Drosophila melanogaster: one gene and its partners. The protein of the gene in region 2 interacts with the protein of the main gene of each other region in a pairwise test. Each region holds a gene or a part of one and is shown on either strand. Other genes may lie near its edges.

Region 1 (4,651 bases), on a different chromosome or scaffold from region 2:
CGCTGCCGTACCGACCGAGGGCGTTCGATTGGCGTGGGCGTGGCAGGACTGCTCCTTCTGATCCTGCTGCTCCTTCTGCTGCTGTTGCTGCTCCTGGTGCTGCTGGTACTGCTGGTGCTTTTCCGACTTTTCCTGTTGCTGCTGACAAAAGCGATGCGATAGTGACGACGGCGAAAGTGACGGCGACGACGGCTGCATTTTCATCCATTGGTCAGGTAGCGGCTCCCTTATCCGGACATTTGCTTGTCGGGATCGGTGTTTTTCCTCGCTTTGAACTTTATTTATCCTTACTAGTTTCTATATACATATTGGCTATGTATCATATTTGCTTTGATTCATATTCATGCATCTTTGGTTTGGTTAAGCGTTTTCGTTTATAACTTTCTTTTGGTGGTGAGTTTTTAACTGTTAATTATTTACAATTTCTGGCGCTGCACTAAACAAAATAAATTTGATAATTGCTTGTTAGAATTTATGTGTGCCATTTGAAATAAATAAATTCCAATTGAATTTTGTATATAGCACTGCACACACAGTCGCGGACACACACGTAGGCACACTTCACTCGGCGGGCGGTCTTCACTTTACTACTACCGAAAACGAACAGTCGCAGCAGCAGCAGCAGCTCGGAAAATGTTTTTCTTCGACTTCGCTCGTTCCTTTGCTTTTCCACTTTCCGCTTTTCTGCGCTGATACGTGGGCGCCGCACACCCCAAAAGAAAAAAACAGCAGAGCCAAAAAATGAAAGGAAAACGTTTCCCGATAATAAAATCCACAAGAGCGGGAGTTTCCACAGGGAAATGCGAGAGAGAGAGAGAGAAAGCTAGAAAGAGAGCGAGAAATGGGGCTGCGCGAGAGAGAAGGCACGCGTCATGCGTGGTGAGTTGGGTAAAAAAGTTCCCAGTATTCTTGGAGCATCATAAAAAAGTAGTAGACATCAATATAATAATAGAAGTGGCAAAAATATGATATCAACAGCGTGTACCGCAGGGAAAAGGAGAAAGGGAACCATAGGGAAAAGGAGAAAGAGAGAGTGGCACAGAAAGCGAGAGAGGGAGCTAGAGCAAACTGCATTGCTTCAATTTCTCCCACCCAAAGCGATTCTATCAATTTCCATAGCTGCGGCGCCCTCAAGTATGCAACATGTTCTGCGACGAACCAATTACCACCGCCACCCACTTTCCCAGCACCACCCCCTCCCAGCCAAAGGCCGCCCACCGCCAGCGGGTATGGCCAAGGACAATCCAGTCAAATATTATATCATACAGGTCCTAATAATAGACGGAAACAAAGGTAACGACACTTGAAGTTTTCAACTTGATGACAATAAACGATAGCTAACGGAAGGCGCACAAATCCGCATTGTGTGTATACGCAAAGTTAAGGTCGGCATAATGGCCCTCAAGCACAAGGATCTTGGTCCTTATTTAGTGTATATGACATGTTTTTAGCATTGATTTTACATCGAATTATGTCCTAAGCTCATAATTCTATAACTATCTATTGTGACAACAAGATATGAGTTTCCTATTGTTTAAAACCCTCAAATTTTAGTTCGATATTCGATCCTATCGAATATTGATATTAACGCATCGTTTGTGTGCGCAGAAAAGCACCTACACGAAATTATAGTAGTTATGATGACTTAAAGCAGATTATAGATGGAATCAAGGAATATCTATAAAACTGGAATCCACATACGCAGTTACTTTCTATAAAAAAAAGTTGTTAACCCTTGAAGTAGAAGTACTGCGAACTTGAGAAATGAGTTGTGAACTTGGACTTGACGGTACTATTATTTGCACCGCAACTGTGAGTTTGGAGCCAGCCTGACGACGTGGAATGTCCAGGACCCGTTTCCCGTGTCCATATATCCTGGCCACCAGGCGATGTCCTGGCGACATGCGCACTCCGGAACCCACCACACTCGCTCGCGCGAACTCAACTCCACCACGACGGAGCGTTTCAAAGAAAGTGGCCAAGTTTAAGGATAAATCACAACGAGCAATATTTTTGCAACAAATGCGTTGAACGGGCGGCAATTTGGGGGTTGGGTGATGAAAACTTTGCGGCTTTGCTTTTCTTAGGGAAATTATTGTTTTGTTTTGGGCTGGGAGAGGCGCAGAAGCAGAAAAAACGGAAAATTATGGATGCTAATGGGGGGCCCAAAAAAGCGAGATATATAGATTTCAGAGGCTGTGTATACACACACACTCTACAACTGTAGACAAAGCAGCCGTACTTCGTACCCGTAGTGGCGCCCACCCAGCCCACTGACGCCCCCACCCCTTTCCCCCTCTGGACTTGCCACCCACTTTTCCCACCCAATGCTGCGCGCTTCGCTCTTTTCGGGCCGCATGAGCAAATCGCAATAGATAGAGAATTTTTTTCTTTCTTTCTTTTGCTGGCGCGGCTTGATTCCTTGCCACCACATCTATATGTATGTATATATATATATGTCTGATTGGTATATATATGCGAATATATATGTATCTGGACGGAGTGCGTGTGGCCTTGTCTTTTTCCATTTTCATTGCTAATCACACGAAGGAGTTAATTTGTTAAAACTTTGGCTTCGGATGGGAAAGTGGGGCCTGGAAAACTCTTGGTACTTGGCACATATGACAACGTAATTTTCACGCGCACACACACACTCGCGATTTTGGAGAGAGAAATTTTATGTACCATACATTTTTGAAGCTGCAAAATTTTGCACATTCGATTTTCACACTGCCACTAATGCTGCCTGCTACTGCTGCTGCTGGCGCTGCTGCTTTTTCCTTCGTTTTTCTTTTCTAGCCGCACTTTCGAATTTTTTTTCCTTCACCGGATGGAAAATTTTCACACGCACAGCAATCGAGTTAAAGCGAGTTTTTCGCAAGTTTTCATCGCGATTTCCCCCGAGTTTTCCACGCGTTTTATGCACTTTTTCGCTGCGAGTGTGTGAGAATTTTCCTGTGTGCTGGCTGTGTGAAAATGGAAATCCAGTGAAAATCCGCAACCGTTACGTACGGAAGAGCACACCTAGCTGCTGTGTGTGCTCCGCTGAAGACGATGGTGCGCTCTGCGGACGGGTCTGCAACTTTCTCGCGGCGCAGCGCCTTTATCGCTGCCTTCGCCGCTGCTCCGCCTGGCGCTCTCGCTGCGTCCCGCTCGCACACGCCGTGGGGCCAATCGCGCCCTCTCGCTCGACGCTGAGTGTGTTGAGTTCGCCGAATTCCTGTGTGCGTGCGTGCCCAACAACAAACAGGGGGAAATGTTGGGGAGCTCCCGTTAGGGAGAGAGCCAGGTCGCTCTCTATCTCTCTCGTTCGCAGTCAGGATGCTCTCTGGCGACCCCCCCTCCCCAAATAAAAATGAAATCAACAATTTGTTGGTCGGCGAGCTGCCAACTTGGCCCCAAAATAAATGTGGCCAAGCTAAGAGAGGAAATTGGCCCAAAGAACGACCATTATTTTAAATTAAGGCTTAATTGAAGGTTAGAAATGTAGGTTTTTTGAAAAAAATGAGTTTTACATTCAATATTAAAATCAGTAAGAAAATGCATTTTCTTATATTTTATAATTTAAGTTAGTAAAATCTCATAAAAACGAACTTTTCAAAAACCATTGCCTACTTTCTTGTGCTTATTCCGCGTCATAACCATGACGTACTATTGTCCCAACAGAAAAGAGTAGTACTGAAATATAAAAACTCTCACGCTCGATACCATCTTTATTTGCAGCAAAGAATGCATAAAGTAAACAGAGTTTTGATTGGTTACTTTGGATACAGCAATTTTTATATATTTATAGGGCTTTTAACTTACAACTATAGAGTTGAGCACACCGTCGATTAATCGCATCGCTTTACTTTGCTTATCATTAAGTTAATCTTTACAAATATGAACGTGTGTGAGCAACCGATATTGATGCTTTTTTGTGAAATTAAATGTATTGCAAATTGCATTTGCCAAGCGAAATTAGGAATAGGTTTAACAGCACTTCTATACACAATGTTTTTTATGCTGACACAGGGTGGTTAAATTACAATAGAACCGGTATACTTTTGGGTTACGTTAAATACACATACAATTAAGGCGACTTTAAATGGGTTCAATATAGATAATGCCTTTCTGGCGTTACTTTTGCATAGAGCCAACTTAGCCCAGGCCGTGATCGTCGAAGAAACTCTGCGGGGTCTCATCCTGGAAAGGGAGAATGCTTAGCTTCAGTTACATGTTACTATACTTTACAGCGCTTGGGGTAAAAGGAAACCAAATAAAAGTATCGATACTGGGGGCTAACTATGAAAAAGACTATGAAAAAGGGTGGTATATAGTAGCAACTAAAAACGAAAGGACACCAAACGGGTGCGCTAAGCCAGACATATAGGTAGATAGACAGTTTAGAGGGAGTGGAGCTCAGAGATCAGATCAGTGGAGGTGGAACAATGTGGGCGTCAAGAGTTTAGAGCAGTCAAATTGGTCAGTCACAACAACAGCAAAGACAACAATCAAAACTAAACGTTTAACAAAGACACTAAAAAGAAAACTGAGGTTCACCAGGTCTTACCATTTTCATATAGCATACGAGTACAATTAGGATTTTTTTTTCAAAAATACTTGGTTTTTATTTTAACTTGTTTTTCTCAGTTACAAAACACAGAAAATT
Region 2 (3,622 bases):
AATGAGAGTGACTAAAAGATTTTGTTAACACTGATAATTGTTTGTACATACATATAACCCACACTCAGACACATACAAAAGCATACACATGTGAAATGACATGAACAAATAGAGAGAGTGAGGCTTGTGTCTTATAGATAGAGCAATATTCGAATTTAAATTGATAATAAAACAAAAGTGACACGCGAGCGAGACACAAAAGTCAACATTTTGTACAACTTGAAATCTTTGTATTGATTTTCAGATAAGAGGTGAAAGGAGGTTTATTTCCTCATCCTTTTATTTATTGGGTTTCTTATCCATTTATGGTATAAGATACCAATCGGGAGAATAATGCATACGACTACAATGTCCAAAGTTACAACGAGGAGTCATCAGCAGATAAGATTATCAACAACGATAGATAGACGAGTTAAACATTAAATAAAACTTGTGAAACACGCAGCTGTTTCATTTGCTTGCTAATGCGGCCCATAAATTCACAATTAACCCAAAAAAGAAGATTAGATTATCAGTTCAGCAACATGCTTTGACTAGTTTATGAATACAAAACAACATGCTAAATATTAGAAAACTTATTTGGAAAAAACAATGTGCTTGTAAATCTTTTTTTTTTGCTATACAAAAGAGAACTGCTGTATACCTTGTATACCTAAACCTAAAATAGAATTTTGTTTTGTTTGCCATGGCGACTTGTGACATTGAACCCCAGATCAGAGGCACTAATCGACCAGATAGCCCCGGATGAAGGGCAGGCCCGTTGGCACCCGCTTTTGATAGCGCACATAGTCCGACTGGAAGAAGTTGAGCAGGGAGTACTCCTCGACGTAGATGCGATCGTGGAAGAACAGCCAGCTGACCAGTGTGTAAATGCATATGCAGATGGGATTCAATAGCACGATCTGGGTTCCGATGGACCACCAGAACCAGCCGACATAAGACGGGTGGCGGCAGTAGGCGTAGATCCCGCTTGTTATTAGCTTGTGTTCCGAGTGTTTCTCATTCTGGACCTGTAGGAATAGATGTGTGATGAGAAGTTTACAAGCTATTTAGTTAGTTTTAATTAATAATAGTGTGATAATTCCTTAAGTGCAATAATATTTATATGTCCATGTATTAACAAATCATCACGACTAACCAAGTGAGTGAAGCTCCGGCCAGCTGTGATGATGGCTGCCTTGCGAACCATCTCGCCCAGCAGGCACAGGACCACGCCCGCCACCCAAATGTATCCGTATCTCTTGAACTGCGGCAGGTAGTACACCTCTAGTGAGAACTCGATCCAACTGGCTGCCGCCGCCAGTCCATAGTGCACAGAGTGGTTCAGCATAAAGGAGTCGAGACTGAGAGTGCGCGGATTGGCAAAGGCGATAACGAGGAACTCCGAGTAGTGGAAAAGGGACATGAAGCATCCGTAGGCGCCAAATTGCTGCCACTCGGTGGGAGCAAAGCAGATGACCAGCACACTCACGGCCATGGCAAAGCCCAGGAAGGATGCCCTAATGGCCACCTGTGGTGCAAGAATAGTTAGCGCCATAGCACTGATAAGGTTTATCGCGTCTCATCGATTGACTCACCTGGTAGTCGTGGTTCCGCAGCACAAACCGTATGATCATGTTAATAAGGGCGTAGTACAAAAATGGACCCCAGAGGACGGCGCCCCACACCTGTGGCACCACTCCATAAAGATTCTGGGGCACCGAGGGAATCAGGACTAGAGCTGCAGTAATCAGAAAGCAATATAAACTGATGCGGCCTTCGGAACACAGGCTGGTGCCACCGGCCCCAGGAGAAGCCACTCGGCTCTTTGCACACATAACTGGGGAATCGGGATTCTTTTTGTGCTGCTGCTGTGCGCAAAAACACGGAAATTGAGGTTTTTTAAAACATTTGCTTGGTTTAATGCGCCAAAATGTAAATAAACCGGCAAAGCTTTCGATAACGATAGGCAGCACAGTGAATAACCGCTAAAGTATAGGCTCGTGATTATCATAGAAATCAGTAATATAATTCTTACAGCTTTTAATAAAATAAATCATAAATCATAAATTAAATTAAATAAATAAATATTTAACACCACGTTTAGCAGAAAATGGTTTTAAAAATAAATTATGCGGGCAATTCTCTTTAGCCTATACCCCCTGTAACAATAAGCGATAGTTATGCACTGTTACATATCGACATATCGAGTTCTGAGGATTTAATTTAATTTTATATAGTCAGAAAAAATTTAATAGTAACTTAAATGAATTACATTTGTAGGTATTCACCTATACCTTTTTAAATAAATTTCTTAACTGCACGCCTTGCATCGATATTTTATCGATAACATGCTCATTTTAGCGCCGTGCAGGTTATGTAAAATAACAAGTAGAGTCGTTGAGATCAATTAAAAATATATAAAAACTCGACCGATATTCTGTTAATATCAAGCCATGGTCTTCCTGAACCTTCCCTTGCTGGTACGGTCCCGTGGTCCGGACGAATTCTGGCGGAAGAGACGCATCTTCAAGCTGGCAGCGGTATGTTTCCGAATATCGTGGCCACAATAAAAATAATGAGCTCTTAGTGCTTAATTTCTGCAGCATTATAGAAGCCGCACTCGCAATGTCTACTCCTTCGCCATCCGGAGTGTCCATAGGGCACTGGCCTATGCCACCAAGGGGCGAAAGCTAAAGAAACTGGACATGGCGCAACTGTGGAGCACACGCGTGGAGGCGGGTTGTCAGCAGTATGGAGTAGGTCTGGAAACCTTCAAAGAGGGCCTCGCGCGCTCCGATATTCTGCTCAACAAGTGGGTACCACCGGAAAATTCCCATATCCTTTAACAACCTATAACATCTTTCAGAAAAGTCCTATCCGACCTCGCCATTTGGGAGCCGCGATCTTTTGAAGCTCTAGTAAAGATCTCTCGAGAGCGGGCAGCTGTGGAGGGAATGCCAGACATCAAACGGAGATCGGCATTTAACCAGGTCTATGGACTGAGCAACCTGAAGTTGGATTAACATAGCCTTAAGTAGGAGTTCAAATATAGATATTTGTATGTTTTAAACGTGTAATCTTTAATTTTCACTTTGAAGGGAGTAAAATCGTTTGGGATTTGTTCTTTAGATTAGTTTTTAACTCCGAATTCGTATTTACATTTAGTTACATAATTCGTAACTTCTGCTTGCTGAATGAAATTTGATACTAAATCATTAATTTATTTACTGCAACTACCTTTTCCGCGAATGAATCCAATATTTTTTCGAGTAAAATGACAAATGTGATTAATGACAAAACACCTGTGCTGCTAGTTTTAACAAGTAACTCGAAATTTATTCAATGACGGTCCATGCGCAATGCAAACAAAAATATTGCATGAGCTTTTATTGTAGTTTTTAGTTTCGGGTTTGTGGGTGTGTTACATACTAATAAAAAGCATAGAATTCATAGAATTGTGAGACAGTGTCCGGAGGCGAGATCTACTCCAATTTGGCCAGGATGTCGGACTCGCGGAAGAGGAACAGCTCCTTCTGGTCACCCTCTAGGTTCACCTTGGTGCCACCGAATTCGGGCAGCAGAACACGATCGCCCTCCTTCACGCCAATGGGAATGTGGTTGCCAGTGGACTGCGGATGAA
Region 3 (3,023 bases), on a different chromosome or scaffold from region 2:
TCGTCGCCAGTCGTGATTTCAGTGGAGAATGAGGAGCAGGTGGGAAACGAGCTCCGTGGGGCGGAGGAGCTTGGTCAGGAGAGAGAGGATGGGGGATATAAGTAAGCCAAGAAAATCCATTGCCACTCAGAGTCGGACGTCTTAATTAGGTTTTCTGCTGAAAAGTGCCGAAAAATGTTGGCTAATGCCCAACTTGCCACGCCCACACGAGCAGCAGACATTGTCTCTGACCCACAAATGGTCCTCCATCCTACCAAAAGCCCCTCTCCCTTTTTAGTCATGCCCCAATTTGAAGCTTTCTTCTGGTTCTCCCAGCGCGATTATAAATGACATCGCATTAGTCTTGGTCGGGTTAATGTGCGTTTCCTTTGGCCAAAAAACTGCCAACTTCGCACAACTTCATTAGTGGAGAACCATGTGAGAAAAGCAGAATATCAGACACTTGTCTCCCGCTTGAAGAGTTCCGGGAATTAAAGTACAGTTGCTTTTTCGTCCTACGCAGGTCTTGATTCTAGCCCTTTGAGGCATTCAGTTAGAATGGCTAAGTATGAACATTAAGTTATCAAAACATCTTATATACTTAATACGTTCAAGACAAAGTGCTACATATAAAAATATCCCCTATAAAAGGTACATTTTCTGCTTACCAAAACTAAATACCAAACCTATAAACTTGAGCTTAAATTATAACATTTTACGTAAGATACATTTTTAAGTCATTACCAGATAAAAATGAACTGTAAGTTTTCATCTGCGTAAAAACCTATTTTACCAAAATTCTAATCTAAAGAGTCGGTGGTTTGGGCAGTTCTTCGATCCCTGAGTTCCTGCTGATGCTTAATGGTCACCTCGAGGAACTTCAGATAGCCCTCGTCAATGGGTTCGATCTCCTCATCCTCGGAAGAACTCTCGTACACGTAGTCCAGGCAGTGAAACGTTCCTGTTTCCTTGGGAATATCCTCAAGGTCCTGATCCAGATTCGGATTAACCTCAGGGCAGAGACTCATAACATGATTGTGGTGCCATTCAAAAAGGCTTTGGTATACTACAATAACAGGGAATTTTAAATGGTTAACACTATTAAAAAACTTATTAATGACTATTATTGTTACTTTGAGCCACATTGCTCCACTGATCTCGAGATGTATGTGGCTTCGGCTTTCCCTCACTTTTCTGCCTTCGTCTGCGCTGCTTGCTCCTATTCCTGTTTCTTTTCCTTGCCATTTCCTCCGATTTCCAATCCTCCATTGGCTTTTATTAGGAAAATACAAACATTCGTCGCCTTTTGTTTACTTCTCAGCATAAGCAATAACAAGATTGCAGTGTTGCCAAATTATCCAAAATGTGGCCAGAAACTGAAATCTAGCGACCGCTTCACAGAATTATATATTTTGGTTCATATGAAGCGCTTTAATAATGATTCATTATAATTTTGATTTGGCAATTGGTTGTTTTCTTTGTAAATAATTTTAAATAATATCTTTTTAAAAGCAGTTTAAGATTGTGATGTGAATAATCGTCTATCGGACTGTAACAGCTGTTAATTCCAGTGTGTGTACAGATTGTAAACAACGCGAACTCCAGATGGCGTCTTATTACTGTTACCGGAAATTAAGTACAGGGGCTTTCAGGGAACAACAGATGGCGCCACCATGTTACTTTTAGATATAATAATTATTGTTTCTAACTTAGAATCTCATAGATACATATTAAAAAAAATTGTCTTAAAAATCAATACAATATATTACAAAATTTATATAATTAATAATTATGAAATTATGCCGCAAATTAATGAAATGAAATTTTATTCATTTTTGAAGAATTACTTATTCCAACAAAATCTCTTCATTTCTTAAATGATAAAACCCTTATATTTCCCTGCCCTCGCGGCCAACCCCTTGAAGGCCTTTTCCGGTCAACCGACTGACTTCAAAACTCTGGTTCAGACCTTCCCGGCAAAGGGCAAGCGCAAAGTTAAAGCCAGAGCAGAAGCCAAGCCGGATCGGACCGAAATCCAGATCCAAGCCAATCCCAGCCAGAAACATAGCCAAACCAGGGCTAAGGCTAAAGCCTGAGGAAAAGGCAGAGGAGTTTTGTTTTTCTAGCAAATTCAAATCCCGCGCTTATAAATCTCGGTCGATCGGTCGGTCGCTCGAAGTAGCGAAGAAGAAGTTCGGGAACCAAAACTAAAACTGGGATTAGGGCGGATCAATTTGGCTGTAGTGCGAATGCAAATTGGCCAGCGGTACGATTTAAATGAGGCGGCCAAACAAAGAGCACATTGATATGGAGTGCATCCTGCTGAGCCGGAACAAAAAGTCCGGGTATGGATGCACTTCCACTTTACCTGCCTCGTCCGGTTCATAAAGGAAAATTAGGTTTACACCTTCCCGGCCAATATGTTCATAAAACAATTTAGAGATTTACAAGGGGATCAACTTGAATGTGGTGCACAGTACATTCCATCCAACATATCCTGTGCCCCTCGTTCTTTTTTCCGTTCTCTTAAGTGGGTGTGGGTGTGTTTGTATTGCGGTTTTAGTGTAGCGAAAAAGGCGCGTGGTTATGGTTATGGATACGGATACAGATATGGATATCATGGCCATCATCCCGCCCATCATCCCTCACTTTTCCCGAGCAATTCACACATGTTTACTTTGGCAACTAGCGGGGGGAACGAAAGCTCTTCATTTCCGATGAAGTAATATGCGTTCTGATAATATGAAAAACATCCTGCGGCCAGGATTTGCACGCACTTATTCCCTTTTAATGGACTTGGCCAGCGATTTTTTGCCCGCATTTATTTTGCATATTTTTTGCGCGCATCGAAGCCAAAAAAAGATTTTAATTCGAGTGGTTCCTACGTGTGCTGGTGCCAGTAAACTAGTTCGGAAATTCGAATTTACATTGAAATAATTTCAGATTTGGAGAGCATAAACTTATAGACGACGTTGGTCAGGATGGCGGATCATGCTCAAATAGAATATAATATATAGTATATATAGTTGAAAACAGCAATGAAA

The links. The genes of interacting proteins can lie anywhere in the genome.
Region 1: the proteins of Icmt (region 2) and CG31140 interact in a two-hybrid assay, tested with the Drosophila melanogaster proteins (one large-scale study listed by BioGRID).
Region 3: the proteins of Icmt (region 2) and CG13689 interact in a two-hybrid assay, tested with the Drosophila melanogaster proteins (one large-scale study listed by BioGRID).

What each region holds. Positions count from the first base shown.
Region 1 is NT_033777.3:23,961,585-23,966,235, reverse strand, and holds the start of CG31140 (uncharacterized protein), read right to left. Parts: upstream 3,057-4,651; 5' UTR 3,013-3,056; exon of another isoform or gene 3,003-3,012; intron 437-3,002; exon of another isoform or gene 432-436; 5' UTR 1-431.
Region 2 is NT_037436.4:13,016,576-13,020,197, reverse strand, and holds Icmt (isoprenylcysteine carboxyl methyltransferase), read right to left. Parts: upstream 1,933-3,622; 5' UTR 1,818-1,932; coding exon 1,578-1,817; exon of another isoform or gene 1,511-1,577; coding exon 1,139-1,510; exon of another isoform or gene 1,088-1,138; intron 1,011-1,087; coding exon 723-1,010; 3' UTR 511-722; downstream 1-510. Other genes in the region: mRpL20 (mitochondrial ribosomal protein L20), read left to right, coding at 2,436-2,522, 2,586-2,794, 2,849-3,005; CG11267 (uncharacterized protein), read right to left, coding at 3,465-3,611.
Region 3 is NT_033779.5:601,096-604,118, reverse strand, and holds CG13689 (uncharacterized protein), read right to left. Parts: upstream 1,307-3,023; 5' UTR 1,249-1,306; coding exon 1,113-1,248; intron 1,046-1,112; coding exon 780-1,045; 3' UTR 557-779; downstream 1-556.